Callithrix jacchus: one gene and its partners. The protein of the gene in region 3 interacts with the protein of the main gene of each other region in a biochemical or structural test. Links are inferred from orthologs where the notes say so. Each region holds a gene or a part of one and is shown on either strand. Other genes may lie near its edges. The genes, in order: PAIP2, UBE2E1, UBR5, PCK1 and OTUD5.

Evidence for each region.
Region 1: the proteins of UBR5 (region 3) and PAIP2 form a complex in vitro, tested with the Homo sapiens proteins (2 studies listed by BioGRID and IntAct, with this or other methods). The link is inferred for Callithrix jacchus from reciprocal best matches to the Homo sapiens genes UBR5 and PAIP2.
Region 2: the proteins of UBR5 (region 3) and UBE2E1 form a complex in vitro, tested with the Homo sapiens proteins (2 studies listed by BioGRID). The link is inferred for Callithrix jacchus from reciprocal best matches to the Homo sapiens genes UBR5 and UBE2E1.
Region 4: the proteins of UBR5 (region 3) and PCK1 form a complex in vitro, tested with the Homo sapiens proteins (2 studies listed by BioGRID, with this or other methods). The link is inferred for Callithrix jacchus from reciprocal best matches to the Homo sapiens genes UBR5 and PCK1.
Region 5: the proteins of UBR5 (region 3) and OTUD5 form a complex in vitro, tested with the Homo sapiens proteins (2 studies listed by BioGRID, with this or other methods). The link is inferred for Callithrix jacchus from reciprocal best matches to the Homo sapiens genes UBR5 and OTUD5.

The regions. Positions count from the first base shown.
Region 1 is NC_133503.1:37,730,588-37,736,871, reverse strand, and holds the start of PAIP2 (polyadenylate-binding protein-interacting protein 2), read right to left. Parts: upstream 4,354-6,284; 5' UTR 4,228-4,353; intron 1-4,227. UniProt on the Homo sapiens protein: Acts as a repressor in the regulation of translation initiation of poly(A)-containing mRNAs. Its inhibitory activity on translation is mediated via its action on PABPC1.
Region 2 is NC_133518.1:62,151,404-62,157,844, reverse strand, and holds the start of UBE2E1 (ubiquitin-conjugating enzyme E2 E1), read right to left. Parts: upstream 3,840-6,441; 5' UTR 3,733-3,839; intron 2,575-3,732; 5' UTR 2,542-2,574; coding exon 2,390-2,541; intron 1-2,389. UniProt on the Homo sapiens protein: Accepts ubiquitin from the E1 complex and catalyzes its covalent attachment to other proteins. Catalyzes the covalent attachment of ISG15 to other proteins. Mediates the selective degradation of short-lived and abnormal proteins.
Region 3 is NC_133517.1:94,652,797-94,658,519, forward strand, and holds part of UBR5 (E3 ubiquitin-protein ligase UBR5), read left to right. Parts: intron 1-1,089; coding exon 1,090-1,201; intron 1,202-1,752; coding exon 1,753-1,884; intron 1,885-2,567; coding exon 2,568-2,829; intron 2,830-3,409; coding exon 3,410-3,674; intron 3,675-3,846; coding exon 3,847-4,058; intron 4,059-5,723. UniProt on the Homo sapiens protein: E3 ubiquitin-protein ligase involved in different protein quality control pathways in the cytoplasm and nucleus. Mainly acts as a ubiquitin chain elongator that extends pre-ubiquitinated substrates.
Region 4 is NC_133506.1:53,145,975-53,152,235, reverse strand, and holds the start of PCK1 (phosphoenolpyruvate carboxykinase, cytosolic [GTP]), read right to left. Parts: upstream 3,594-6,261; 5' UTR 3,500-3,593; intron 3,332-3,499; 5' UTR 3,291-3,331; coding exon 3,067-3,290; intron 2,627-3,066; coding exon 2,445-2,626; intron 2,002-2,444; coding exon 1,798-2,001; intron 1,660-1,797; coding exon 1,472-1,659; intron 1,099-1,471; coding exon 936-1,098; intron 535-935; coding exon 310-534; intron 224-309; coding exon 92-223; intron 1-91. UniProt on the Homo sapiens protein: Cytosolic phosphoenolpyruvate carboxykinase that catalyzes the reversible decarboxylation and phosphorylation of oxaloacetate (OAA) and acts as the rate-limiting enzyme in gluconeogenesis.
Region 5 is NC_133524.1:49,515,398-49,521,671, forward strand, and holds the start of OTUD5 (OTU domain-containing protein 5), read right to left. Parts: upstream 3,870-6,274; 5' UTR 3,055-3,869; coding exon 2,461-3,054; intron 1-2,460. UniProt on the Homo sapiens protein: Deubiquitinating enzyme that functions as a negative regulator of the innate immune system. Has peptidase activity towards 'Lys-48'- and 'Lys-63'-linked polyubiquitin chains. Can also cleave 'Lys-11'-linked ubiquitin chains (in vitro).

The DNA of each region.
Region 1 (6,284 bases), on a different chromosome or scaffold from region 3:
CTGCACTCCAGCCTGGGCAACAAGAGCGAAACTCTGACTCAAAAAAAAGAAAAATAGAGGAGCCAGGTGCAGTGGCTCATGCCAGTAATCCCAGCACTTTGGGAGGCTGAGGCAGGCAGATCATTAGGTCAAGAGATGGAGATGGTCAGGGATTCAAGACCAGCCTGACCAACATGGTGAAACCCCGTCTCTACTTAAAAAGACAAAAATTAGCTGGGCACGGTGGTGCTTCCCTGTAGTCCCAGCTACTAGGAAGGCTGAGGCAGAATCACCTGAACCTGGGAGGCAGAAGTTGCAGTGAGCTGAGATGGTGCCACTGCATTCTAGCCTGAGCAACAGAGTGAGACTGCATCTCAAAAAATAAAAATTTAAAAAATCCTGTTCTAGATGACAGTTTAAGATGTTTAACACTTAAATTCATATATTTCACCAGATTTTGGTTGGTAAGAGCAATTTTTTTCCCATTACTGCTGCCTGGAAGTCAGCAAACCCTTAGCGCTTTACTGTATCTTCAGCTGTTTTTTCCCCTCCTGAAATGCCTCTTAGACATACTGGTTTCCAGCAGTGTCCTTTTACATTGTCTAAAGATTTTTAAAATAAAAAAATATTTTATGTTTTACAATCTTTCTCCACTGGCTTCATCCCTTAAGAATTCTCATTAAAATTCAAATATAGTTCTCTTCTGCTTCTTTCATTAATTCTCCTCCATAGGCACCATCTTTTCTCATTCCCTTGGGCTCTGCTTTGAACCACTGTGATCCTTATTTGCATATATATTTTTGTTATCGAATTACGCATATATATGTTTAAGCATACTTCCTCTGGCAGTTAGGGAGGATCGATAATTTTTTCAATTGGTCTGTTTTCTACTCTGAAGTCTGTGAAAAGCACCGATTTTTTTTTTTTACTATTTGACGCAATAATGTCATGATTAAAAAACGTGGGCTCTGGAACCAGGCTGCTTTACTAGCTGTGTGACCACGGCAAGTTATTTAACCTCTCTGAGTCACGGTTTCCTCATCTGTACAAGGTACATTATTAATAGTACCTTGGGGGCTGGGCACGGTGGCTCAAGCCTGTAATCCCAGCACTTTGGGAGGCCGAGGCGGGTGGATCATGAGGTCAAGAGATCGAGACTATCCTGGTCAACATGGTGAAACCCCGTCTCTACTAAAAACACAAAAAAAAATTAGCTGGGCATGGTGGTGCATGCCTGTAGTCCCAGCTACTTGGGAGGCTGAGGCAGGAGAACTGTTTGAACTCAGGAAGTGGAGGTTGCGGTGAGCCGAGATCGTGCCATTGCACTCCAGCCTGGGTAATAAGAGCAAAACTCCGTCTCAAAAAAAAAAAACAGTACCTTGGTAGAGAAACTGGAGCATAATAATTAGCATTATCTATCTGGTGATTAAACATTTAGGGCAGTTAAAGGTCTCCAGACCAAGGGACAAGGTAAAAATAACAGATCTTAAATCTTCAGAGCTGAAACAATGTCACAAGAAAATCCCAAAGTCTATCCTAATCTCAACTGTAGTGTAACAAGGGCAACTAGGTGAGAGCAAGGATGGGTCATCCTTACTTATGGTAGCCATTGGATACATAGAGCTATTTAAATTAATATTTAGTTCTTTATTTACACTAGCCACATCTCAAGTGTTCATAACCAAACAGTACCTACATTATTGGACAGCTCCACTCTAACCAATGAAAAAAAAAAAACAACGAAGAAAAAGGGGAACTGAACCACAACCTACACTGAATACAAACTGTTCATGTACCTGTGCAACAGGTGGTCTAGATCACAAAGGCAATGACTTGAACAACTTTAATCTTAGACCACAGTCAGAAGACTTCGGTTCAAATCACAGCTATGCTACTCGACCACCTTAAAGTACCCTAGACCTGTCACTAAATCACACAGCACTGTATAATGGTTAAGAGCACACAATCTCTGGTCTATCTGGATTTGAATTCCGGCTATCACTAGCTATGTGACGTTGGGCAAGTTACTTCACATCTCTCATGTGTTCTCTTTGTTTTATAGTAGGGCCTACCTCCTAGTCATGTTGTGGATCAAATTAGTTAGTATTTGCTTGTTTCTTTTTTCCCCCTGCAAACTACACAAAGAATATTTGTAAAAAGCAATTAGAACAATGCCTGGCATCACTAAAATGTTATATAAATATCTGCTACATAAAAATAATGTCTCAAGCTTCTATTTTCTTAAGTCCTAGTGGGCAAGATAAAACTTGCTCTGCCTATTTCACATGTTGTCATGATAATGAATGACGACAGGATGTAAATTACAAGAAAATTTTTTTTTGTTTGTTTGTTTTGTTTTTGAGACGGAGTTTCGCTGTTGTCACCCAGACTGGAGTGCAATGGCGCGATCTCGGCTCACTGCAACCTCCACCTTCTGGGTTCAAGCAATTCTCTTGCCTCAGCCTCCCGAGTGGCTGGGACTACAGGTACGCACCACCATGCCCAGCTAATTTTTGTATTTTTAGTAGAGACGGGGTTTCACCTTGTTGACCAGGATGGTCTCGATCTCTTGACCTCGTGATCCACCATGCCCTGCCGTAAGAAAATGTTTTAAAAGCACAAACGGTTATTAGACTACAAGGAGGCAGAGGTCTTACCGTCCAACTTCTTTAATCTCCCACAATATCAACCAAATTGCTGTGCTAAGTGTTCATTTAATAAATTTAAATTTTTTCACTAAAACTGGAGCATCACACTCTACTCATAAAGGGATAAACCTGACTAAGGTACAGAGTGCTTATTATTTAAGGAAAAGCCTGCTATAAACTCATTCTGACCCAAAGACAGTAGAAACTACCTCAATTTGAGTTCCAAGGAGCAACATGCACAGCCTTGAATCATCATAGGAAATCTCCATTCCCTAACCTCCATCTCTTAAAGAAACACAAATGGGCTCTACAGCTAGTCAAGTTACCTATCCTGTGATACTTTTTTGTGAGAAAGTTTTCTTCAAGTTCACAATTGACAGGTAGTATAAACAGTATAATTTCCCCCAAATATCCTGTCTTTCACCAACTGGAAACAGAATCACAAAAACAAATGGTGAAGTCTCATTAAAAATTCTCATAAAGAACTTTTACTTATTGCAAACCTAATCTACGCTTTTGAAATTTCCAAAAGCGACACCAACACCTGATCTAACTGCTCAAATGAAATCTGTCAAAAAACAGAGCCACCACGTTCCAACATTAGCCAGCACACCCAAAAAGAGCCTCTGCTTTCTGTTGAAATGAACGTCAAAGGCTGTCAGCTGCTACACCTTCCAAGGCAAACTGGAAGCCAAATTCTTTTTAAGAGTTTGATATGGGTGCCAAACCAGAGAAAAGAGAAACAAAAGGAAGCAGATAAGACCACTTTTAGGATTCACTAAAAAATATCACTGCTGGCTGCTGCAACAAATGTTTTGCAGACCTAAGCTCACCAAAAGCCTTATTTATTTTTGGTGGCGGTGGTGGGGGAAGGAAGAGAGTAAGCACAGAAAATTATCAAAAGGTAAGAGAATCTTAAAGTTCATCTAACTCAACACCCTCCTAAGGTAAGGGTTCCAGTACCCCAAAGGTTCTCTTTCCCGGATCATGAGCTACAATACAACCAAAAATAAGGGGTAGGGATGGCGAAGAAACGGGAGAAAGGCGATCTTCTGATAAGGCCTGTCGACGGTTGCAGCGTTTCCCCCAGCTCGCCAACATCCCGCCAGTCCCTCCGCCCCTCTCCCCCCAAACCCCAGCCTCGGCTGAGGCGCGCAAGCGCAGCAAGTAGGGGCTGCGCGTGGCGACGCGCAGGCGTAAAGTGGGTAGAAACAATGAGCTTTGTTACCGAGGCGGTGGTGGGGGGCAGGGGAAAGGGTACCAGGCGGAGGGAGAAAGGACCAGAGGAATGGGGCACAGGAGAAAGTGCTATCCCGGCAACCCTCGCGCCACCGAGGACCCGGATAGAGAGCTGCGAGATCCAAATCATAAATAATGACAATGAAAAAAAAAGCTACGGCCATGTCTCAGAGAAGAGGGAGAGGAAATCTGCCCAAGCCCATCCCTCAGACTTAGTGCAAAGAGACAACGAACAACGGAGGCCGCAAGGGACTCGGCGGCCAACCACCAAGGAAACCCTTTAGGCCCCTCTGCCGTCGCTAAGGTGCTGTCCCTTGACCGCCGCACCCTTGTCGCCACTCCGCCCGAGGGGATCCCTCACCCTGTGCACAGCAGCGGGGATGGCAGCCAATGAATCCTGTCGGCCTCCGCGGATCTCCACAGGCAGCGCCGCTCCCCGCTCGACGTGCGCTTAGCCCGCCGCCTCCCTTCTCCAGTCCAAACAAACACCCCAGCGCGGAAGTGACTTCACTTCCGTCGCCGCCAGCCCCGCCCTCTTGTTCTGTCAGCTCTGCCCTCCGAAGCCACTAGAGGGCGCGCGCGAGAACGCGCGACCCCGAAGACTTAGTCTCCAAGGCTGCACACAAGTGCACGCGCAACGGCCTTTCCAGCGCGCCCCTGAGGACGGCTTCGGAGTGTACCAGGAACGCTGTCGAGCGTTCTCTCTGGGAGGTAGGAGTCGGAGCGCGCCACTATCCCTACATCCGCCCCTCTTTCGAGAATGATTGGATGCAATGAGGGAGGGAGCTGGGAACTGAGGAGCACCCTGACAATATACACACACAGGTGTGAACACTTAGACGTCTCACACACACCCTAAAAAGTAACATGTCGATAACGACATAACACAGACACCCGTACCCCAAGAATGATACACAATGTCACATTAACAGCTACATGCACCGAGTCACATCAAGATCCTGACACAGAAACATAATAAACTAAGGAAAATCGCAGAGGCATACTAAATGATATGCAAGTCCCCGCAGGCACAAAAACACACTTTTTGAAGCTGGACGCAAACGCAAAATACAAATGCATGGTTCCCAGACAACCTGTGCAAGCTTCTTGGTGGCTAAAGGAGGAAATACCCTGTCCAGACAGGATAGAAGGGTGTGACTTCCGGGTTCATGAATTTCCTAGTCCACGATCCTGGGTGCACTGGCCCGTTATTCTTACCTATGCTTCCTTCTTGTCATCGTTGACAAGCCTCAAGATATATTTCTAGGCCGGGCGCGGAGGCTCAAGCCTGTAATCCCAGCACTTTGGGAGGCCGAGGCGGGTGGATCACGAGGTCAAGAGATCGAGATCATCCTGGTCAACAAGGTGAAATCCCGTCTCTACTAAAAATATAAAAATTAGCTGTGCATGGTGGTGCACGCCTGTAGTTTCAGCTACTCGGGAGGATGAGGCAGGAAAATTGCTTGAACCCAGGAGGCGGAGGTTGCAGTGAGCCGAGATCGTGCCAGTGCACTCCAGTCGGGGTAACAACAGCGAGACTCCGTCTCAAAAAAAAGTCAGTCAACATAGCTAATAGAGTTGATAGTTATTAAGAAAGTAGCTGGGATCTAATTGCTCTGTGATGTTTTAAATTTTCCTATTATGTAGGAAAACAAACTCTCCCATTTAAATCTCAAAAGCCAAATAGCCAGTGAGAAGCTGCTACTTCTGATTTAACCACCCTGTCAAAGTTAAGCAAACTGAAATTGGTCCTGTTTTTGACAGGCACGGGCAAGGAGTGAAACTTGAAAAGCATTTTGTCCTAATCAAAGGTAGGATTGCTGCTGCTGTTTGTGTATACCCTTTTGGATCAGGTCCTTATAAGAAATTCCTCATAAATGTTGCAATATATGAAGCATGATATCATTGTTCATAGAAAGGTTATTAATCCTGTACCTAATACCAGGTGCTTTCAACCCAAGTATACAAATCCTGCTGAAGTCAGATGTTTATTGACTCGTCTATCACACTCAACAGACTACCCCTTCCTTAAAAGCATCTACTCTTTTCACTCATCTTTTTTCTTTTTGAGACAGAGTCTTGCTCTGTTGCCAGGCTGGAGTGCAGTGGTGCAACCTTGGCTTACTGCAACCTCTGCCTCCTGGGTTCAAACGATTCTCCTGCCTCAGCCTTCCGAGTAGCTGGGACCACAGGCGCATGCCACCACACCTGGCTAATTTTTGTATTTTTAGTAGAGACGGGGTTTCAACATGTTGGCCAGGATGGTCTCGATCTTTTGACCTCGTGATCCGCCTGCCTCGGCCTCCCAAAGTGCTGGAATCCCACTGGCTGGTGTGAGCCACTGCGCCTGGCCTCTTTTCACCAATTTTCATATCCCCTACCATATATTTGACTTTACAAAGTTCTTAAATGGTATGA
Region 2 (6,441 bases), on a different chromosome or scaffold from region 3:
ACTGCTACCAAAAATCGTTTCATTTCTGAGACATTCATACTCCTGCTGTTTGACTCATGACTACATTACACTAAAAGTTTGGAACATTGGTTTCCGGATTCTTTACCTGCGTCTTTTCGAATAACTATTTTAAGACCTACACACACAGGCAAAAACTTCCTCACCGGAGCACAATGCATATAAAAATACATACTGACTTCAGACCTCCTTGCCCACCCAACTCCCACTATAAAATATCCACTAAAGAGGCAGTTAATACCTAAGAAGTGTTCATACCAAAAAGCTTTATCAACTTCATCTTGACAGTCAGCATGTGCATTTCCAAAACCTGGCAAGAGATCTGCAGGAGGAACTCATACCTACATCCAGAGAGTCAGTCATTCTTGTTCAGGCCACTTTCAATGGGGGCTTTCCCCTACCCACGGTTTAGAAACCACTTTCCAGCATGCAGTTAGGCTGTGAGTCTGCCAATTCAGGCTTCTTTTTCACTCCTTCTCCTGGTAAATGTGCCCCTTCCAATTTTATGGGCAACACCTACCTTCCAAATCAATATATTTCACGGAACAGGTTCTATAGGATCCCACTAACATCAATTTTCCCCTTTCTCTTTCCTGGATACACTGTCCCTCTCAGGTTTTTTTTACCTTTTGCTATCAACCTTAGGTCTGCTTTAACACTGATGGCTACTACTCTTCAGCAAGGTATCAGGGAGCTAAATTCGCTGCAAAAACAAAACAAAACGAAAGCCTTGATGTTCATTTACATGTAAAATTACTATTTGTAGCCTCCCACCTTTCATTTTTTAAAATCTACCATCTCTTTCCCAGCACTTTCAAACAAATTTTTAACTTGTTTAAAATAAATGGACAAAGTATGTCTAGTGAAAAAAACAATTCACTCATAACAAAAGCAGAATATTTTCTATTTGATACCTGTGTCTTTACCCCCAAATATATATTCATGTACACCAGGGATATCTAGCAAAATATAAAGATGCAAATTGCCCAAAGCAAGTATCCTGGCGTGAGCACATGAGGCCAAAAGCTAAATGAGGATCAGGGAGCCTAGAGGCTTGAGGTGGAGGGCAGTGCTGCGAAAAGGCCCATCCCAAGTGGGCAGGGTGGATGCCAGGTTCCAGGAGAACCAAACAGGGCTAATCAGTGAGGGTCAGTTAGGCCTCCTGGGAAGATTTACGATCAAACCAAACCTATAAAAATGAGAACAATCTTGCAGAGGCACCTAAGACCTCCACACTATTTTTTAAAAGTCACTCCATCAGCCCATGGTTAGGTCACCAAAACACTGCCAAATTTTCAAATTACAAGTCAGGCAGAATGACAGAACAAACCCTCAAACCCTGACTTCCTGGCTCACTACTCAGTGGACAGATCTAAAGTCTCATGTTCCACTTTACATTAAAAATTTTTAAGGGTTTCTCTACCTAACCCACCATTCGGACTCCCTACTATGTTCCCGTTTTGCCACCTTTTTAACTGTCTAACTCTGAGAGCAGAAGGATTTCTAAAAAGGTGTCTCGGAGTTCCTAGGAATCTACTAAAGATTATTTTAAGTGTCATGGGGATCAGAGGATATTACTGAAGAATGGCAGGTGTAAAAAGTAGCTACCTCCAAGAGCTGTAAGAGGAAAAGAATAAAGAAAAAGAGACACAGCTTAAATTGGAAAAAAATAAGGCAAAGTAGCATTTTTACAGCATGAGGACAGCAAATAGCATGAAAAAAAAGTCTCCCTGAAATTTGGTAAACTGAAGTTCTCAAAGAGAATCACAAAAATAACCTACAATAACCATTTTACATCACTTACTGATTCATTCGTCTCAACTCTCAGAAAAATCTCTTTAAATTCCATCAGAGAATATCTGTCTTCACCTACGAAATTTTGTACCTGCTCATATGAGTTTCTTATTCCTTTTACAATTTGTGGAGAAAGCTCTATTCCAAAAAGATCATCCATGCAACAGGTGAAAAGAAGGTAAAATGGTCATAGAATCCATTTCGATGCAGTTGTCTGAGCAGGTTATTAGTAATTAAGAAACAGGATGATGGCCTTGGGGAAGGTCACAGATTAACCATTAAGTGGGACAAGGAATCTGAAATCAGATTTGGGGCTCGCTAATAAAAGTAGATGAGGATTGTTACAAACTTCGGCGAGAAAAGCGAGAGCCAAGCCGCAACAGCTGCATGTGGGCAATGATTTTAAAAAACAGAAGCAGCAATAGAGAAAATAATTAGGGTTTCCAAGGCCCTTCTTTCATTTTTAAGAACACACAAACCGTGAGGAGCGTTTAAGCTATCCTCGTTGGGAGGCAGACCAAATGCAGCAAGAGGCAGTTCGGAAAATAGGAAGCCTGTGGAAAAAAGAGTACGGTACCTCTTGGCGCTGGTGGAGAGGAGTTTGGAGTTTTTGCTCATGCTGACTTTACTCTCCTTCTTCTTGGGGGTGTTTGTTTCTTTCTCGGTTTGCTGGTTGGAAGATGAAGATGAGGAGGAGCTGGTGCTGGCCCTCGAATCGTCATCCGACATATCGAACCCCCCACCCCACCCCGCAAACAGCCCCTGCAGGGGGAGGGAAACAAAACAGAAACACACAAACCATGCAGCCAGTGTAAATAAGGAACTCGGGTGCTGTCAGGAGGGCATTGACCAGGGGCGCACGCGGCCGCCCACCGCCCTCCACTCGCTTTTCAAAGTCTGCAGGCCCATTAAGGCTTTTGCAAATCGGACGCGGCTTGTTTGTTTATTTTTGGCCCCAAGTAGGGAACGCGGTGGGAAAACGGTCTGGAGCTCGGAGAGCAGCCCCTCCCTCACCCCCCGGGGCTCTCCGCAGGGCAGGGAGGGAGTAACCAGGAGGCGAAGAAGGGCAGGGTGGGGGCGCGGGGCGCCGCAGCGGGGCAGGGAGGGAAGGTCCCGGCGGCCGGCCGGCCTCGGGGCTGTTTTTGTACGCTTTCCGGGGGTCGTGGGGGACCGGTGGCCCGGGTGAGACTGTGGGGCCACGAACGGAGTTTGGCGAGGTCGGGAAGAGAGGAGGGGCGGGAAGGAGTAAGAGAGGAAGCCGAAACAGGGGGACGGAGGCGGGGAACGGGTGCCCGGGTGGGGGAAGGGAGAGGCCGGCGGGGGGCAGGGGCGACGAGGCCCGAGCCCCCCCCCCCCCGCGCCGCGCCCCGACGCCCCTCCCGGGCGGCCTGCCTCTGGGCCGCCCGGCTCAGGGCTGCGCAGCCGGGCGGGGGTCCGGAGCACACGCCCGTTCGCCACTCGTGGAGGGGGATAGGGGCTGCGGCGTGGGGTGGGGGGGGCTCGGCCTCCGCAGCGAAGAAATAACAATGAGCCCTTCCGCCCCGGAGGGGTAAATCCCCAGGAGCCCGCGCCCCTGGGGAAAACAGGGCTCCCCCAACTCCCCCCCACCCCCGCTCCCGGCCCCCTCGGCGGCCAGTGGGGGGGCTCCTGGGGCAGCGCTGACAGTTCGAGCCACAATGACCCCCAGCCCCGACGCGGGCGGCCCCGCAACCCACGCGGCCCGGGGTCCCTGCCCATCCCCCGCGGGCGGGCCCGGGACCCCTGGGGCTCCCCAGCCCCTCTCCGCCACCACCCCTCCCCCGGCCCCGTGTCCGGCGCCCCGGCGGCCGGGGCGGTGCGGGTCGGGGACGGCGGCGAGGGGTGTCCCCGAGGCCGGCGGCGCGGCCGGGGGGCGGCGGGCCGCTGGGGGGATCCCCGTACCTCTCTTTGTGTCTGGCTCCTCCGTGCCGCCGCGGCGGCTGCTGCTGCGGCTGCGGCTGGGCCTGGCCACTCGTGTCTCTCTCTCGCTGGGAGAGAAGCGGAAGTGCAGCAACAGCAACTATTAAACAGGCAATGGCTTCCCCCAGCCACACACGCTCGCACACACACCACTCCTCCGCCGCCGCCGCCTCCTCCTCCTCCTCGCCCTCACCCCTCCCCCACCCGGCCCGGTCCCACCCACCCGCGCTCCTCTCCCCCTGCAACACCTCCTGAGGGTGCGCGAGAAAGACTCAGGAGACCCCAGAAAACCCTGCTCCCCCCGCACCCCCACCCCTGCGTCTCCTCCGGACGCCCGGGAAGGGGGCGAGGGGTGTGAATTTCCTCTTAAGTGGTTTGGGAACCTGGATTCTAGGCGGGAGAGGGGAAGCCGACGGAGGTGGGAGGCTCTGGGAGCGTTTGGAACTAGATGGAATAGGGGGGTCAAGAGAGAAAGTTCTTTCCAGTGAGGGCTTTTGGAAAGGAGAAGGGTAGGGAGGTGGCAAATTGGTGAAAAAGATGGTAATCTGGTGGCAAGCAAGGACTTTGGTCTAGAGAATGCAGCGGGAACTCCACCTAAAAAGCGATCAGTTTAAAGAGAAAAAAAAAAGCACACAACAGGGGTTTTCTTTGGGCTGACACTTGCTTCTTCTAGCAATTTACCTGCTAGGAGTAGAGGTCAGTTTAGGCACGCCTGTGAGAAAATCCCAAACCAGGAGTTTTCTGCTCAGGTCACGCGAGGCACGTGCAGTTTTACAATATTAAATTCTTCCAGTCACTTTTTATACAAAGTGATGTGGTTTTATAAGAGTAATACAAAGGTTTTGGTGACACATGAAACCAACGTGCAACGGGCTTGCAAATGTGAGAAATCACTGGGAATAAGCTATATACTACTGAATTAGACTGGATTTAGAATTTTGGGTGTCATTTTACATTATATATAAGGTTTGGTTTTTGGAAATTGGATGGAAAGTTCTGGGATCGCAGTGCTTTCTTTAGCTACATATAAATACTATTCAGATAATAGTTTTGAAATAATCAGCAATTCTTCTGAATTGTTCCTTATGTAGCATTTTTGTCCAATTAATTTTTTTTAATATTAGGCCATCAAATTACGATTTAGTTTCTCACCTATTTGTCATTTCAGTTGAAGGGAACTAAAGAGATATGTGCCATACAACAGTGCCACATATACAAGGTCTTGTACGTTAAGGACACAGCCTCAGATTTCCACAGGTCACTCTAAATTATCTCATTCAAACTGCCATCATTTTCCACCGCAACAGTGGCTTCAGTTACCACAGGACAACCCAAGATATAAAGCCCATGGCATATCCAGTAACCAGGAAAACAAGCATCCCACGACCCAGCCGAACTCCTAACCATCAACCTGAAACTCCAGCTTTATCAAGACTCATAATGTAATTGTGCATGCTTCTTGCTCAATCCCTACCAGGAAACCTGTCTCTACCAGGAGTTGTCATAGAAGTTCAAAAGTTGGAAGAAATCTTCTGGGTCATAATTTCAGCCTCCTGATTCCAGACAACTATTTCTCCACCATTGAAATGCATATAGATTTTGAAAAATTCTCCAGACATAACCTTTCTTAAGTGTTTGGTTTCAGGAGTCCCTGGTAGAGTATATAAAAATGATGACATTCTCTGACGTATATTTGAAAATTTTTTTTAAACTTCTGAAAACCAGGTTGTATTCTTTTTGTTCTGATGAAAAGATGTGAATTCAGGAGAAAACAATAAGCAGATGAAATAAAATCAGAATGAGGAAAATAGTCTAAAAATAGTTATTAAAATTGAAGTGTCCTCTTATGAAAATTATGGATTTCTGATACTTAAAAATATATGTCTACATTATAAATACAATCAGTAAAAAAAAAATCATGTGTATAAAGATGAGAACTAGCAGAGATCACAGGAAAATAAAAGGTTTGATTTGCTGGAGTGATCAGGACAGTAGACGAATTTTTTCTTTAATATTGGTTTGCATAAATTGAACACTAGCTATAATAATAATTCTTTTAAAATAGAACTTGATATTTTGTGTTGTGTTACTGACGAAAGAAATCATGAAATCTAACAGGTCCTGCTATAAGGAAAAGTAATTTCCCAACCACCTGTCTAGAAGGCTTCTTGCCCTCTTTTGTGTACCTTTCCCTCTAATCTCTAATATCCACTAGCTTGGGGTAATGTGTTATGGTTTTGGCATGACCTAATTAGAGGGAATAAAAACTTCAAAATGTTTAGAAAAGAATCCAGTACTCTCAAGACTAATCTTTATGCCAAATTATTTTTAAAGCCTGTATATAGCATCTTAGGAAAAAGAATTCATATACAACTTTCTAGCTCTCCTTTTTATTAACTATAAGGCCTAAAGAGCTAAATTAACCTCCCCGAGCGTCAGTTTCCTCATCTATAAAGAGCAGGAATACCTGTGCTCTACTGACTGGCGAGGTCAAATGAGTATATGTAATTAAGGTGATTTATCAACTGTTACGCAAAGTAAGTTATTAATAATTCCACTCTGGTCTTATTTCTTAGGAATTTTCTTAGGACATGCATGGGTTTGGGGACTTTTTGATGCTTTTACTTTTTGTTTTTTTGTCACCAGGGCAGAAAAGAGGATATGGGGTTTTTATGATTTAGAATTGATGAA
Region 3 (5,723 bases):
TATAGTAAAATTATTTTAATAATTTGTGACTTACTGGATATTAGGAAATTGGACACAAACTTGTCTTTACATAAGGATTGAGAGTAAAGATAGTCTTTGTTAACAGCAAAGATATTCTTTTTTTTTTTTTAATGACAGAGTCTCACTCTGTCACCCAGGTTAGAATGCAGTGGCGTGATCTTGGCTCACTGCAACCTCCACCTCCTGGATCCAAGTGATTGTCCTGCCTCAGCCTCCTGAGTAGCTGGGATTACAGGTGTGCATCACCACACCTGGCTGATTTTTGTATTTTTAGTAGAGTTGGGGTTTCACCATTTGGTTAGGCTGGTCTTGAACTCCTGACCTCATGATCTGCCTCCCAAAGCTGTTGGGATTACAAGTGTGAGCCATCACACCCAGCCAAGATACTCTTTTTTTTTTTTTTTGAGACGGAGTTTCGCTCTTGTTACCCAGGCTGGAGTGCAATGGCGCGATCTCGGCTCACCGCAACCTCCGCCCCCTGGGTTCAGGCAATTCTCCTGCCTCAGCCTCCTGAGTAGCTGGGATTACAGGCACGCACCACCGTGCCCAGCTAATTTTTTTGTAATTTTTAGTAGAGACGGGGTTTCACCATGTTGACCAGGATGGTCTCGATCTCTTGACCTCGTGATCCACCCACCTTGGCCTCCCAAAGTGCTGGGATTACAGGCTTGCAACGCTGCGCCCGGCCCCAAGATACTCTTAATGTTAGAAAAATTTAGTAGTTATGAGCAATGCATTTGAAAGAGGATACTACCTATTTATGAAGTAAATTTTATCATGGCCACAATATATAAAAATTTAACTCTCCTCCCTGTCTCCAGTATAATTTTTAAAGTTCTAATTTGAGTGTTCTGTATATGTTCAGTAATAAACTTTGGGACCTGTGGATATGATTTTCGACAGCAAATTGTCACATGAAGATTTTCAAAACTGCTTGGTATATGATTTAGAATTTTTTATAGTTAGGAATCTTTGCATTTTAGTTAACTAGTTTCTTTGGGGGAACACTGGTAGAGATACAGGTTTATTATGTACTTTGATTGTCTACAAATAAGATTCTGGATTTAGGTTGAGGTGGTGGAGGGTGTGGCCGGAGAAGAGGATCATCATGATGAACAGGAAGAACATGGGGAAGAAAATGCCGAGGCAGAGGGACAGCACGATGAGCATGATGAAGACGGTAGGCAGGTTGTTTGAGAAGTTACTCTGTATGAGTACATCAGGTACTTTGAAAACAGAGAAACCTCTTTTGAATGTATAGTGAAATGGCCCACTTAGTTTCTGCCAAGCGTTTCTGTAGCATCTGTTAAAAAATTTTAGGAGCTATATAAATACATATATAAAATGGTTTCCCTTTTTCCTTTTGTTTAAGTCACTTTCTTAAAAGACTTTTTTAAAACAATCGTGGTCGCATTATGAAACATTTGGAAATAAGAGAAAAGGAAAATAAATCACCCTTAATTACACCTAGGTGCAATGATTTGTGTATTTACTTTCAGTTTTCCCCTGCACTGCCCTGTTGTGATAGTCTGTTGACTACCATAATTTCCCTAGTCATTCTTCGAAGGTTGAGTAGTTACTTATTTTTATTCTCTCTCACACCATTCCCCTTCTCCCCAACTCCCACCTCCATGCCGTCTTAGTTCCCACCCTTAGGATATTCTGGCATAACAGACCCTGTTTTAAATTATGGTAGCTTGTGCTTTTTTCTTATTTAAATATATTTTTTAGGGAGTGATATGGAGCTGGACTTGTTAGCAGCAGCTGAAACAGAAAGTGATAGTGAAAGTAACCATAGCAACCAAGATAATGCTAGTGGGCGCAGAAGTGTTGTCACTGCAGCCACCGCTGGTTCAGAAGCAGGTATGTCACCTTATCCCGACAACTTTCTCATGTTAAGGCTGTGTGAGTATTCAGCACGGACTGGTTCATACTTTGTGTGGTATATACAAGGGTAGCTAAGCATTTTTATAACTTCATCCTTGTTCTCTGGATATTAGTAAAGAAAGTATTATTTTAATAATTCTTACCCCAGCTTTTCTGGCTATTAAATGATGAATGGATTTTCAAGGTCATTTAAAGGATTTTGATTTCTTTTCTTTTTGTTTTTTTGAATTGGGTCTCACTCTGTCACTTAGGCTAGATATTCCAGTGGTGCAGTCAGAGCTCTTTGCAGCCTTGAACTCCTCCTGAGTTCCTACCTCAGCCTCCTGAGTAGTTGGCACTATAGGTGCAAGCCACCACATCGGACTAATTTTTTTTTTAAAGAGATGTGATCTTGCTGTGTTGCCCAGGGTGGTCTTGAGCTCCTGAGCTCCGGTAGTCTTCCTGCCTCAGCCTCCTCAGTTGTTGGGATTATAGGCATGTGCCACCACACTCAGCCAAAAGTTATTTTCTAATAAAAACTATTTTAGTGGTGAGTTTTGTGGATTATTGAATACAATCTGGCATTCTGTTTAATATGTATGTTTTCTTGAATGAGGGGGGTACATTGTAATTCTAATTAACAAAAACAATGTTTTTGGTTTTAAAAATAAAAATTTTAGGAGCAAGCAGTGTTCCTGCCTTCTTTTCTGAAGATGATTCTCAGTCAAATGACTCAAGTGATTCTGATAGCAGTAGTAGTCAGAGTGATGACATAGAACAGGAGACCTTTATGCTCGATGAACCATTAGAAAGAACCACAAATAGCTCCCATGCCAATGGTGCTGCCCAAGCTCCCCGTTCAATGCAGTGGGCTGTCCGCAACACCCAGCATCAGCGAGCAGCGAGTACAGCCCCTTCCAGTACATCTACACCAGCAGGCAAGTCTGAAACCTTGGTATTCCTAAGAATACTTAAATACATTTTTTAAATTATGCATGCTCATCTAGGGAACAAATTAGTTTTATGATAGCTCCTCACTGTTTTATTGAGTTTCAAATATAAAAATGAGGCGCATATGATAATAGCAGGGTTTCCCAGTCTTTGCATTATTGCAACTTTGGGCTGGATAACTGTGGGAGGCTCTCTTGTGCATTGTGGGATGTTAAGCGGCATTCTTAGCCTATACCCACTAGATGCCAGTGAAACCCATCTCAGCCTTCTTCCTCTCCCCTTGGCTCCCACAGTTGTGATAACCAAAAATGTCTGCAGTTACTGCCAAATGTATCCCTTTTGGCAGGGTAGGGTGGTGGTGTGGGGATCAGATTTCCCCTGGTTGAGAACTTTATATTAATTCTTATCCTCTCATTACCCCTCTCCCCAAAATAGTGTCATTTAGGCAAAGTTTTTGACTCTGCTACCACAGTTGACCATTTAGATTTACATAAGTATGTACAATGCCAGAGAAGTACAATTAGCACTTGACATTAGCTCACTGTGATTGTCCTTTTTTCCTTATAGCAAGTTCAGCGGGTTTGATTTATATTGATCCTTCAAACTTACGCCGGAGTGGTACCATCAGTACAAGTGCTGCAGCTGCAGCAGCTGCTTTGGAGGCTAGCAACGCCAGCAGCTACCTAACATCTGCAAGCAGTTTAGCCAGGGCTTACAGCATTGTCATTAGACAAATCTCGGACTTGATGGGCCTTATTCCTAAGTATAATCACCTAGTATACTCTCAGATTCCAGCAGCTGTGAAACTGACTTACCAAGATGCAGTGAACTTACAGGTATGAACCCACTGTGAAGTTTCTCATTCCAATATATTTTTTTGGCTGTCAATTCTGAGAATTCCAGTATTAGGGGAATTAAATGTTAAACATTTAAATGTTGACATACTGCTGCTATATCGAATTTAGTTCTATTTGGATAGTTTTAACTATTTTAGTTTGGTCTTCATAGAACTATGTAGAAGAAAAGCTTATTCCCACTTGGAACTGGATGGTCAGTATTATGGATTCTACTGAAGCTCAATTACGTTATGGTTCTGCATTAGCATCTGCTGGTGATCCTGGGCACCCAAATCATCCTCTTCACGCTTCTCAGAATTCAGCGAGAAGAGAGAGGATGACTGCGCGAGAAGAAGCTAGCTTACGAACGCTTGAAGGCAGACGGTATGAAATTCTTCGTATATATGGAATGTCCCCAACTTAAAATGGATCCCCACCTTACAATCTTTTTTGACTTTATAATGGGGTTTTTGGGAGTATTAAATACATTTAGACTTATGACAAGTTTATCAGGACGTAACCACATCTTCACTCGAGGAGTACCTATACTTACATATTTAGATAGAACCTTTATATCCTGGAAGGTTAAAGCTTTTTAATTGCTATTATCTAAGATCTCATCTTACTGTGAGAAAGAAATGACTTGCTTGCATTACTTAAATTGTTGAAGCATAATAGGCTGGTTATCATGCAAGCTATTTTTTCCCCCCAAGAAGAGTTTCACTCTTGTCCCACAGGCTGGAGTGCATTGGCGCGATCTCGGCTCACTGCAACCTCTGCCTCCTGGGTTCAAGCAATTCTCTTGCCTCAGCCTCCCAAGTAGCTGGGACTACAGGCGTGTGCCACCATGCCTGGCTAGTTTTTGTATTTTCAGTAGAGATGAGGTTTCACCATGTTGACCAGGCTAGTCTCAAACTCCTGACCTCAGGTGATCCACCCGTCTCGGCCTAGGTGTGAGTCATCATGCCTGGCTCTCCAAGCTATTTTTAAGAATCCATTTACATCATAGGAATCTGTTACTAAAGACTTCATTTATGAAGTTGTTGGTCTATGTCTTTGTCTTATCTCCAAGACTTCCCCCCACCTTAGAAAGTTAATTTGACTATGATTGGATGTAGATGTACTTTGTACTTCCCCCACCTTAGAAAGTTAATTTGATTATGATTGGATGTAGATGTACTTTGTACTGAGGAGGAGGAAAGTGTGTGTGATTACCAGTGCTGCTCTTTTGTTTCTCAATTCACATTTCTTTTTTTCTGCCTCCCCATCTTGTTGAGTTATAATTAAAATATATATCTGTGTATTTGTTATGTTCTTTTTATTCAGTTATAAAGTGATCATTTTCAGGAGTAGGTATCAGCGCAAACACTGAACATCAGAGCAACAACAGTAGTATAGTAAAAGTGCTTCATACCTACAGTCAAAATCCAAGGATTTGGTTCTAGCTCTGCCTCAGGATAAATACTTTTGTTAATTCTGGGTGGATCATACAGTGAGGAAAGAAAAGGGTCTAGGACATTACTTGGAAAATAAGACAGTGATAGGCATCTCCGGCAGAGGTGGTAGTTACTAAAGTAGGGCGGTGATGACCAGAAGGAGGAGTGATAAGCACTGAAATCATCAACAGAATTTAGGGCCTTATTGAAGGATTAGGAGGGGGCATCGTTTATATTTAGACTTTGATTCTGAATAACTAATAGGAAAATTAAAGAAAAACCTAGGGTAGCGTAATGGACAAACTTGCTTTTGAACATGTGAGAACTGGGCAAAAAAAATTGGTAGAAATGTCAAGTATGCAGAATTGAGTGCTTGGCAAAGGTAACTGTACTAGAGATAGAGATTTGAGAGCAGCTCAAGTAGAGATTTTAGCAGCTTTCCTGTCCTAGAAAGCCTGCTCCACGAAGAGACAAAAGCCTTATCTTGGTTAGGCTGTAGTTCTTACCCCAGAGAACACAGAATTCTGGTGACAGGTCTTGGTTGGTGGCAGTGTTCTCGCTCCTCTCTCTCGGTCAGCTTTAATGTAATGATTCACATATTACATACAATTTG
Region 4 (6,261 bases), on a different chromosome or scaffold from region 3:
CTGACAAGGTCATGGAGAAGGAGAGATTTCACAGACACCCTTCTGTACCCAGCACACCCGTGTTCCCAGCTTAAATGAAGGAGAGCCTCACCAGCAGGTCTGCGGCCTCCAAAGATGATGCCTTCAATGGGAACCCCTTCTGGAGACTCCCAGGCAGCATCGATGATGGGGCACTGGCTGGCAGGGGTGCAGAACCTCGAGTTGGGGTGGGCACAAGGTTCCCCTATAAGACAGAAAGGCCCATGAGTGCCTGGCTCAAACAGGCAATCCCGGCTGCCCAGCACACCGAGGCCTCTGGTAGGGGCTCACCATCCTGTGGGCTCCACTCCTTATTCTTCCAGGAAGTGATGGTGACACCTGGAGCTAGCTCCTCATCAATACCTTCCCAGTAAACGCCCCCGTCACTGGTCTCGGCCACATTGGTGAAGATGGTGTTCTTCTGGATGGTCTTGATGGCATTGGGGTTGGTCTTCACAGAGGTCCCAGGAGCGACACCGAAAAAGCCATTTTCTGGGTTGATAGCCCTTAAATTACCTGGAGAGTTTCGAACAGAGAAGCAGTGTTGAACGGCAGATTCTTCAATCCCGCCGGACTAATTTCTATGCCAGCTTCCCAGCTCTTTGTTCCCTCCCTAGAATATACATTTATCTCTTTTCATCTAAGCATCATATGCAACTTTGAGACATTTACAACTCTTGCTTCCTCCACAATTTTCCACCAATACCATCTAAACAAATTTATGTACGTAAACAAACAGCAACATATGGCCCTGTTTCAATCCAGCTTGAATATTAAATTGAAGAATTCTTACAGAATACAGAATACTAAGGCTTTGCCAGCTCTGAACTAATGAAATTTAAAAATCCAAGCACTGGATTGAGGAGACTGTGGCATGTTTTGAAGGCCAAGAATTCACTTGGGTCCAACTGAGTCACCTTGCGTGTCAAACTTCATCCAGGCGATATCGTCCCCGACGCACTCAACCTTCCACCCGGGGAGGCTGGGGTTCATCATGGCCAGGTTGGTCTTCCCGCAGGCACTGGGAAATGCAGCCGCCAGGTACTTCTTCTTGCCCTCGGGGTTGGTTATACCCAGGATCTGTTGGGGACAAGATTCTTTATTAAGATCTTTGTTTGCTTCTCCTTGAGGTTGGTACTTCCCAGAGGTGGGAATGCAGGCCCTCAAGCTCTATTTCTTCAGGTATCAGTGCAAACAAACATTTCCAAAATCATGAAGCCCAAAGGATCTCTATAGTGCCCTGGTGTTTGGGGCCCTTCAAAAGTGACTTATACAGGTGCACTGATCTTTAGTGGTGGGGTTTCCTGATCTATCCGGGAACCTGCATGCTCAGAGAGGTGTGCTGGGTCTTGCTGGACGGGAACTGTGATGCCGTTTGTTTCTGCCACCCACCCACCCCCCTGCCCACCTCCCAAGCCTCTCATGTGTACATCAGGGCTTCCTGCAGACTCACCAGCATGTGCTCTGCCAGCCAGCCTTCCTCTTTGGCTAGCCGGCTGGCCATCCTGAGAGCAAAGCACTTCTTCCCGAGCAGTGAGTTCCCGCCGTACCCACTTCCAAAGGAAATGATCTCTCTGCGATCAGGCAGGTGCGCAATGAGCGTCAGCTCCGGGTTGCAGGCCCAGTTATTGACCAAAGGCTCTGTGAACAAGGACCCCTCCCACATCAGTGCTCCAGGGCCCTGCTTGGGGGTCCCAAGTGGGGGGGTGGGGTGGGGTGGAGTGGGGTGTTCAGCTTTCTTTTTTATTTTGACTTTCGATTTTGAAATAATACACTTACTTTTTAAAGGCAGAGGGCACCCCACAGAATGGAGGCATTTAACAAACTCCCCATTGCCCAGTGCTTCCAGGACAGGCGTGCCCATCCGTGTCATGATCCGCATGCTGGCCACCACGTAGGGCGAATCTGTCAGCTCAATGCCGATCTTTGACAGAGGCGAGCCCAGCGGCCCCATGCTGAATGGGATGACGTACATGGTGCGACCTACAGGGTGTGAGGGTGGGAACTGGTGACAAATGACTTTGGACTACAAACACAACCAGCATTGTTTTCCAAGGTAGACCCATTTGCCCGATCTCCACCAACACCACCACGCCCTGCTTGTCACCAGCCCCCCTGGGTTAGAAGAGGCCACTGGAAAGTGAACAGCCTGCTGAAATTAAAGAATTTTCATAAATGTGCAATTGGGTCCCACCAAGCTGTTTTAAACCCACATGCATGGAAATAGTTTTCATGTTCACATAAAACAGTCTGTAAAAGCAGAACAGGGATGTACGTTTTCAATACATTGCCAATTTCATGTATGGAACTCAAAGACATCTGAGGTGGTGGGAGCTTCCGTTAGGTGGTTTGATTTACCGTTAGGAGAGATGAAATAAGAAAAGGTTCTCTGCTATTTTGCGCAATCAAATAAATGTTCCGCTCACCTTTCATGCACCCCGGGAACCTGGCATTGAATGCTTTCTCAAAATCCTCCTCTGACATCCAGCGGCCGAGCTGGCTGAGGCCAGTTTTGGGGATGGGCACTGTGTCTCTTTGCTCTCGGGTGATGATAACTGTCTTGCTTTCGATCCTGGCCACATCCCTGGGGTCAGTGAGAGCTAACCAGCTGCAAAAATCACAGGCTTCCTTTCAGCCCAGCACCACTGGCAATGGACCATCTCCTTCAGTACCGCTGCTTTCCATGCATAGCAGGGTGCTGAGCAGGCTGACAATGCTGCATCGATGTGAACACACAGACCAGCTAAGACATGGCCAGGTGGACATGAACTCAAGTAGTAGCTGGTCTGTAGGAGAGGGGCTGTCTTTTGCTTTTATCAGGAATCTAGTTGGCAGAGCTTTTGCGCACACCACCTCATTTAAGGTCTGGGCTGCTCTACCAATGTCACAAAATTCAAGTCTGTATGGTTCTGACCATCGCCTGCCTTCATCTTTTCAAGAGTCTGAAACTCCCGAGAGGCCTTTATTCACCTTTCTCCACTAACTCCCAGGAGATGCAGGGGAGCCCTGCCTGCGGGAGGCTGGGCAGGTGTCGGGGGCCAAGCTTACCAGTTGTCGTACTTCTTCAGCCGCCTGAGGGTGCCCTGCTCCTCCATGTGGCCCAGAAGCCGTGCGTTCTCCTCCTCGGAGCCATCACAGATGTGGATGCGATCAGGCTGACACAGCTCAGCATTGTTTTCGATAAACTCCCTCACTGCCTGGGGCAGGCTGTCCAGGGTGCCCTGGACAACTTTGGCCGCGATGTCCAGGCTGTTTTGCAGCTGAGGAGGCATTTCTGCAGAGTGCTGCTAAGGGGCACCAATGTCAAAGTCACCTGAAATAGAAAACGCAGGTGTCCTGGACAAAAGCAACAACAGACACCTTCAAACACATTCGATGGCCTTTCACCGGGGCCAAGCATTGCCAAATAATTATTGCTCTCAGGAAATAAATGAGCCCATCTTTGTAATTTTTAGAAATGTAAATGCAAAGCTCTACTTACCTTTCTTCTCTTTGGACAATCTCAAAGGGAGATCCACAGGTTTCTTTCCGGGTTCTTCCCGCCAGCGGGTTTGTGTTCCCCGTGGGAAGGCCGTGCTTGGTGGCAGAATCTTCCGGCTTTAAATACCAAGGAGGAGAACAGCCCTGCCCCTTGGCTACACCCAGGGAGGCTCGCCACTGATGTCAGGGAGCAGGTCTCTGGATCATGGCCAGGGTCAGTTATGCTTTGGGCCAACTCACTGCAGCACACCCCAGGGAGATAATCATTGAACAGATAGTTGTTAATGAATGCCGGCAGACCTTGGGCCCTCAACCAACCATAGTGAGTTTTGATACAACTTCCAATGGACTAAACTTTGACCCATTTTACTGCTGATGAAAAACACACCATCCTTTTCTTAGTAGGCAGGTGGAGTCGAGGACAAGGCTGGTCAGGGCACCTACTGGACACATTTTGTGTGCCAAGAGCTGCTGGTTGGCAAAACACCATAGCTACACGAAGTCACCCCATGTGAAAGTTCACAGTCAAAGTTCATGGGAAGGACGCACCCTGACTTGGGTGTATATGTGGCTTATTGGCAAAGATTGAAAACACCTAACCTAACGGGGGCTCATCACTGCATTGCGTCTCTGCTGTGTGCCCCCACCGCCCCAGATGTAAACCCCATGAGGGCAGGGATTTCTCCCTGTTTTGTTCATTTTTCTATCTACAGTGCTTGCCACAGAGTAAGCACAGAATGCGCACATGCTGAGCACTGTTCTAAGAGCTTGGCATCATTACTACAAACAACCTCTGTACAGATAGGGAAACTGAGGCAGAGATTGTGTAGCTATTCCCAGCTGGCTTGTAAGTGCAGAGTGAGGATTTGAACATAAGCAGGTTGGGCCCTGGAGTACCACGTTCCCCCCGCCCCAGGAGGTACCACCACCTTTCTGGAACCTTCCCTGGAGTTCTGGGCTAAGTGCAGTTACTCCTGGAGTCCACTAGACACTGTTCACTTCCCTGGCAAGTCTTACAGTTTGGGGAGTGGAGGGGACTTGGCAGTTTTACTAGATTATATGCTTAAGCAATGAAACCTTTATAACCGTTATAAAGAATTTGCTTTGCAAGCCATCAGAACTTCAGTCCAATTTAATGAACTACAGAAGCTGCTTGCTGGAGTTCAGAGAAAATGGGGTAAAAAGTCAAAAGAAAAAGGCTGGGCCCCGACTCCCCACAGCCAGCCCACACTTCCATGGGAGCCTCCCTACCTAAGATGAGGTCAGGTGAAGACTTGGCCCATCTCTCCGATGGGGTGTGGGGGTGATCCCTGAGAAACTCCCAGGCATGGGCATAGGAGGAGCCACCATGGCACATGCAGGGCACTGTGAATGGCAGCCTCCCACCAAAGGCACTTAGAGGACCCCCCAGGGGGGCATTGGTCTCACTGTGTTGGGCATGGACACATCACCAAGTCCCACCAAAATTATCCACCCGTTGCTATGCTTCCTTTATTCAGATTTTATTCAACCAGTTGGGTCTTTCAGGGTAAATACGACATGAGGTGCTTTTTGTTTCATTTGAAGTTATTTCCCCGTTAGGTCACTGGCATTCATCATTAGAGGTGCTGTCATCCATACGTAAGTTTGTATTGTGTCTAAACCCAGCACTACATGATACTCGGTAGCTGACGGCACTTCCTTAGCATCTGACTGACATCAGTGAATTAGCCATTCCGACTCCCAACCACAGCTCCGTGACACACTCATCACGCCCAGTGAGGCTCATCCCACCAAACTGGCAGAAAGTCCCATTTTGCTGATAAAACTGTAATAGGTTTGAGTCCCTGGAAGAGCACGTAGATTGAAAACAAAAATGAGAAAACAGAACGTATTTGGAGTTTGAAATGCTACCCATTCATTCAAGGTGCTTATGTTCTGAGTCTTCTGGGAGAGAAACACTAGTTCAATTAAAACATCGTGTCAGTGAGTTACCTCCGACCTTCATCTGATCCTTTCATTACTCACATTAATGGGGTGGAAGGATGGTATGATTCCCCTGCAACTGTCCCTTGTCAAAATGTTAAAAAGCAAACATTGGGTTACAGACTTGCCTCAAAGGACAGAGTTCTCTGGAAGAAAAAGCATGATAAAGTAGAGGGTTTTTAGGACACACAGGCAAAAGTCTGGGTGCAGTTGCCTTAGGCTTTGGTGGATGATGACCTAGGGCCCCCATCTTTCCCTGTCCTTAGAGACTCCCTGCCCCAACGGGGCCTCATTGACTACAGTTTCAAGAGGCTGGCCGGAGGCATGGGTCTTCCCCATCTGACCATCAGCTTATTTGTAAGTAAGCCTCAGAACTAAGTACTCTCTGTTTATTTCAACAGGGTCCTAAAGAAGCAGTAGAATACCCACCCTGCTGGTGGGATCTCTGAGGACCCCCAGTGAACCGCCCCCCCCGAGTGGACTTTGCAGTGTGTACTCGGTGGGTGGGGTGTGGAGGTGATTCATGCTGCCTGTGAGTTGTGTTAGTTGTTTCTGGGGCAGACACCTTGAAGACCTCCTAGGTTTTGGGGGGCTCCTTAGGCTCAGATTTTCTTAGGTCCAAGAGAAGTTTTTCATCCAATTTGCTGAAATCTCATATTCTCTAAGAAGCCTCAGCTCAGACGTTTATTAAGTGGCTGCTATGTATCCAGCACCGGGAATAAGAATCTTGATAGTACCAGGTGTTCTCTGCCTGCCAGAAATGGGATGCATTCCATGGTTTTCTCTGATGTATGTACC
Region 5 (6,274 bases), on a different chromosome or scaffold from region 3:
TGGGAGGAGAGTTTCTTGAGTGGCAATGTCCCAAACCCCTTTCCTGTCTCTGGAAAGAAAAAAGCTTGTCAAAAGCAGTTCAGAACTTATTACATGACCTAGAGGTGAGAAGCAAGCATAACTGGGTCAGGGAGAGACTCAGAATCACTTCTGGTTTCAGAGGGGAGGCTCCACACTCCATGTCTTGAGGACGGGACAATCTTCTCACAGAAAGTAGGAGGACCCTCTTGGCCCTGGCCACAAGGGGGTTCAGAATATGGGGTTCATATGACCCTGAAGAGCATCCAGGTCCATCTGTCCAATGGGAGAGGATGACCTTACATTTCTCTCCCTGGACAGAAAGGATTGCCTAGTGTGGTAGGAGGAGAGCCTCATGCCCAAGTGGGAGCCAGGCCCCTGTCCCTAAGGCAAAGGATCTCTTGTCCCAGAGCAAAAGCTCGGCCCCAGACTCTTTTCCTCAGAATCCTACCCTATTCATATCCCCAAGGGGAGTTGGAATCTGAGGCCCAAAGTCCCCGAGGGAGGAAATCTTATGTCCCTAAATGACCCCTATGACTGGGGTGTCTGTACGTTGTCTGAGGTGAGGTGACAGTACCCTCAGGGCAGTTTTAGAAATCAGCTCCTAAGGAGAGGAACAGGCCTTCGCACACCTGAGGTAGGATTCAAACCCTGGGGGTAGACTCAGGACCCTGTTCCACAGGGATCCTTTATCCATGCCCCAAGGAAAGGGTCTCAGGGGTCAGGTCTGGGGGAGGAGTCCTCCTGTTTCTCAGGGGTACATCTCAAGTTTCTTGAGAAGGAAGCTCAGACCTTACCTCTAGAAACAGAAGTCACCAGGGTATGTACGAATCTCCTGTCCCTGAAGGAAAACTCAAGAGTCCTTGGTAGAGTGGCTCTCAGGCCCTTAAAGGTAGGCAGAGATCCATAGGGAGGCCCCAGACATCATCTCTGGGATTCTATGTTGCCCATGTCCCCTGAGTAGTCGTCTCAGGCTCAAGTTCTCAAGACATGGGTCGTGTGTCTCTGACAAGAAGCTTAGGCCCAAGGGGGAAGGGCCTCAAACTACTGTCACAGAGAGAAGATGGGATATTGTATCCCCAAGGTATGTTTCAGTCCCTTATAACTGAGGTAAAAGGGTCACATATCCTTGTGGAGTGGGGAGTCTGAGACCCCCAAAACCACTCAGATACCAGTCTCAAGAAGGGTCTCCTAAAGACTTCACCTCTGCAGCGGGGCACCAGGCCCCTGAAGAGGCCTCAGACTCAGTCCCTAAAAACCTCAGTCCAGGGCCAGATGCAGTGGCTCACGCCTGTAATCCCAGCACTTTGGGAGGCTGAGGCGGGTGGATCACCTGAGGTCAGGAATTCGTGACCAGCCTGACCAATATGGTGAAACCCTGTCTCAAAAAAAAAAAAAAAAAAAACACCTCAGTCTGTAAGAAGGTAGATCTTAGGCCCTAGGATCCAACCCTCTGAGTCTCATTCTCCTGAAGAAGCTTCAGGCCCTTGGTGGGAGGTGGGGGCTTTGAGGGCCCATCTCTTCTTACAGGGAGCTTAATATTCTGAAGAGAGGTTCTGGCCCTTGTCTCCAAAGAGGTAGGTTGCAGGCCACTGATAGAAAATGAAGACCTTTGTCACTCAGAAAGAGGATGAGTCTCATGTACTCAAGTAAAGCTGCCGGTCCTTGGGTGTTGGTTTTGGCCCCTGACCCCAAGGGCAAGGGAATCATCTTCCTGCAAAAAGTTTTATATCTCTGGAAAAAGCTTAGAAGACCCCTCTCCTTAAAGAGGGCGTTATGTGTTTATCAGGACCTTGATTCTAGAAGAGGAATTCTCAGGCCCCTGAAGACAGAGTTAGGACCCTTGAGGTCTCAGGTCTGGCTATTCAGTGGTCCTGTGTTCTATTACCCAGCAAAGCGGAGACGGTTGTCCTATATGCAGAGTGTCTCAGACTCTTGAAGGGGCTTAGGTTCCTTGGGGATGTTCATACCCCATCTCTGGGGTCTCTACTTTATTTGATTTCCCTAGAGGGCTAATCTCAAACTTCTATCCCAGAGAAAAAGAGCTCTTAAGCCACTGAACACAGACCTAGGTCTCTTGGGAAACCTGAGACTCCTGTTCAAGAGGGGCTCGATCCTACCTGTGTCTCTTGGAGAATTCCCACCTATTGGCCCTACAAGATGAGGTCCCAGGAACTGGAATGACGACTACAGACCCTAAAAGAGGCCTCGGATCTCTACGAGGTCCTCTTTGGAAGTCTGCCACTTCACCGTAGGCCTCTAGCCCCAAATCCCTAGACGGGGGGAAAGAAGGTGTCTCACACCTCTACCACGAGAGAAGACTGTCAGGCCCAGTGAAAAGGCCTAGATCCCTTGGGGAGATCTCAAACAGCCTTCGGGTACCTTCACAGTGTGGGGGTCCCATCTACCGTAGCCGCCCACCCATCACCCCACAGCTCTTACCTGCTCGACAGTGGCAGGATCCATAGCCTCGATGCGTGCTGCAGCAGCCTCATACTCGTCCTCACTGTTGTAGCCTGCGCCGACCTCCTCACGCTCGGGACTACCCCCGCCAACTGCGCCAACCCCGGGAGCTTGACGTCGCCGCTTGCTGTGGCCAGGCCCAGAGCAGCAGCCGCCCACGCCTACGGCACCACCCACACCCACCACCACGCCCGCGGCACCCACACCCGCCGCCGCTGCGCCCAGCGCGTCACCGGGCCCGCCGCCGGGCCCACCTGGGCCCCCGCAAGGAGGTGGAGAAGCCTGTTGTGGCCGAGGGCCCGCCACTGCACCAGGCGGCACGGCCAGTGCCCAGCGGTGAAGAGCGCCCGGTGGTCCTGGTAGCGGGCCTTGAGGCGGTGGCGAAGCTCGAGGACGGGCCCCCACCACGCCGGAGTCACGGTCGCGATCGCCGCCGCCCACGCCCGTGCCGCCGCCGCCCACGCCCACACCCCCGCCGCGCCGCGGCGCCGGGGGCAGCGGCCCGGGCGGCGGCGGCTCGTTGGCAGGGTCGGCGTCGGGAGGCGGCGGCTTCTTTTTGGGGAGTATAGTCATGGCTTCACCGCCGAGTGCCCCCCAGCAAACCCGGCGCAGAGCACGCCGGGAGAGAACCCGGATGAGGGGGCTAGTGTAGTGCGCGAAGCACGACGGGAACGGCGAGACCCGGATAAAGAGATCGCGGCACCGGTCCGAGAACCCGCGGCGGCGGCGGCGGCGGCGGTGGCAGTGGCGGCGGCGACAGTGGCGGCGACGGCGCGCGGGTCACGCCGGGAGAACCCGGATGTGAAGTCCAAGATGAAGGCAGTGCGGCGAATTTGTCGTAGCCTTCTCTCCAAGTCCAGCAAGTTTATTGCTACGCTCGTTCTGGCCTTCTGCTTCAAAGGAGACAGAACCAAAACAAGCACCTCTTCACTCCGCCCCCTCGCAGGTTCTTGCACTACCGGGTGGGGCCCCGGGGCGCTGCGCACGCGTGCCAGGGCACAGCCCCGCCCCTCGCTCGAAGTACGTGGGCAAAATCGTCGCCGCTGCCACAACAATTGCTAACACCAACCAATTGAGCAGCTGCGTGGGTCCCCGACGACGCCCACGGGCCAATCAGAGGCGAGTGCTTGCCCTCCGGTGCCCTCCGTCTCAAATTTCAGTCAAAGTCGACACCCTCGTTCCCAGCCTTTCTTGCTGTCGGTCCCGTCTTGCTCTTTACTTTTCTCCCCGAAGCTCTCACTTGCAGGCGTCGTAACTGTGGACGGACAGCGTGGCCTGTTTCACCTACGAAAGGAAAAACGCCTCCCCTCCAGGCTTCCAACTTGAACGCTGTCAGCCGGACTGACAGGAAAACATCAACAGTCCAGAGCACAGCATTCCTCTCGAGCGTCACTTCCGATATTACCCCCCTGCAAATACCCTTCCGGGGGAGGTGGACACCGCTTCACCCCAGCAACAGCTTAAGTTCTGCGGTGATTGGTTAAGAGACGCCGTCACTCCCGTCATACCGACCAACCTTGGGACCGACAGGCACCGTGGGGACAGTGGTTGTTTGGGAAACAGACACGCCTTCTCTGGCGACACAGCACTCTCGCCCTCGCGGTGACCTCCCCGCCCCTATGGCTAGTGCGCAGGAGCGGCCCAGCCTTTTTATTTTTAATTGTTTCCTAATTGAGACGAGGGTCTCACTCTGTCGCCCAGGCTGGAATGCAGTGGCGCGATCATAGCTCACTGTAGACTCCAACTCCCAGGTTCAAGCGATTCTCCCGCCTCAGCCTCCCGAATAGCTGGGACCACAGGTGCACACCACCACGCCCGGCTAATTTATTTTTTCACTTTTTTTGTAGGGACAAAGTCTCGCTACGTTGCCAGGCTGATCTACAGCTCCTGGGCTCAAAGGATCCTCCCGCCTCAGCTTCCCAGAGTGCTGGGATTACAGGCATGAGTCACCGTGCCTGGCCAAGCCTAGCCTTTTTCTAAAACTAAGTTTGCCTGGGTCGATCGAGGTTTATGAACCACCTCTGTCACCAGTCAGCGTCTCGCAATGGGGTTGGCAAAAATCCCTGCTATTGAGTGGCTGGAGAGCTACACACTAATCCTAGCTCTGCCCTTCTTGTCTGAGTGATCTTTGGCAAGTCATTTAGCATCCACTCCGTCCTCAATTGTTGTTGTTTACTTTTTTTTTTTTTTGAGTCGGAGTCTTTCTCTGTCGCCAGGCTGGAGTGCAGTGGTGCGATCTCCGCTCACTGCAACCTCCGCCTCCCGGGTTCAAGGGATCCCCCTGCCTCAGCCTCCCGAGTAGCTTAGACTACAGGTGCACACCACCACACCTGACTAATTTTTTGTATTTTAGTAGAGACGGAGTTTCACCATGTTGGCCAGAATGGTCTCGATCTCCTGACCTCCTGATCCGCCTGCCTTGGCCTCCCAAAGTGCTGGGATTACAGGCGTGAGCCACCGCACCGGCCTGTTGTTTACTTTTTTAATGGAACGCTTCACAAATTCGCGTGTCATCCTTTCAAATGGTGCCATGCTAATCTTCTCTATCGTTCTAATTTTAGTATATGTGCTGGGAAGCGAGCACCCATCCTCAATTTCCACTCTATAATAAATTGGCAATGATAATTCCAATCTGAGGATCAGAGATTAATGCTTGTAAAGGGCCTGGTGCTGTGCCCACCACATAGAACGTGTTTAATAAAGTAGTCTGCATGGTGGTACAGTGGAAGGACCCCAGGCTTTGGAGCCAGAAAGATCTCAGTTCCGGGCACAGATGGACCATCACCAACTAAGACCTTGAGGAACTCATTGTGTTGCTTTTGGGATTACCCATATTTAAAACGGGAATGATAATGCCTGCCCATACTATCTCAGGGAATGGTTATGGGGTTCAGATGAGCTGATGAACCAAGAAGGTATTAAGAGTTCACTTCCAGTCTTAGGAGACAAACCATACAACAGGTCGACTGAAAGAGACCATGGGAAAGCTGTTTTGAATAGGGCTTTGATTCCCTTCAGATATTAACCCTAGTTGAAGTTCTTCCCTGAAAGGCATTAAGTAATAAATGGGCTCTAGTAGTGTTTTCTGCTCATGAGACTTAATGGGAGGAGGGGACTTTCATGTTTACCGAGCCTGTTGTGTTCAGGGCTCTGTGCCAAATACCTATGCACATTATCATATTGAATCTTCTCATGATCATCTCACTCCAGCCCCATATATTCTACTCATTACACATCTAAAACTGAACTCATGATAGTAATCATGGCTACCTTTCACCAAGTACTTACTATGTACCTAGCACTGAGTGCTAAAAGCTTTGATGTTCCCTTTACCAGGGAATAGTACTCCCATCCAGCCACTGCTCAAGCCATAACCTGGGGGTCAACCTTGACTGCTCCCTCTTCCTCAATTCCCACATGCCTGTTAATCCCAAATCCTGCCAATTCTACCTCCCAAATCTCTAGATTCTCCAATTCTACTGCCACTACTCTGGTCCAAGCCACTGTCACCTACCACCTGGACTACTATGAAAGCCTCCTCCCTACTTTTCTTCCTTCCAGGACTGTTTATATCCACTCTTCACAAACAGAATGATCCTTCTGAAACAAACTTCATTATGACTTTTCTGTTTAAGAGCCTTTAGAGGTCCCCACTGTCCTTAGGATGAAGTTCAAAATTTGCGTCATAGCTTCCAAAGCCTTTTGTTATCTGGCCTACCTCTCCATCCTTCCTCTCCTCACAGCCTCGCACTCTCCTCCCTAGCTGGACTGAACTACTTTCAGTTCCCTGAAG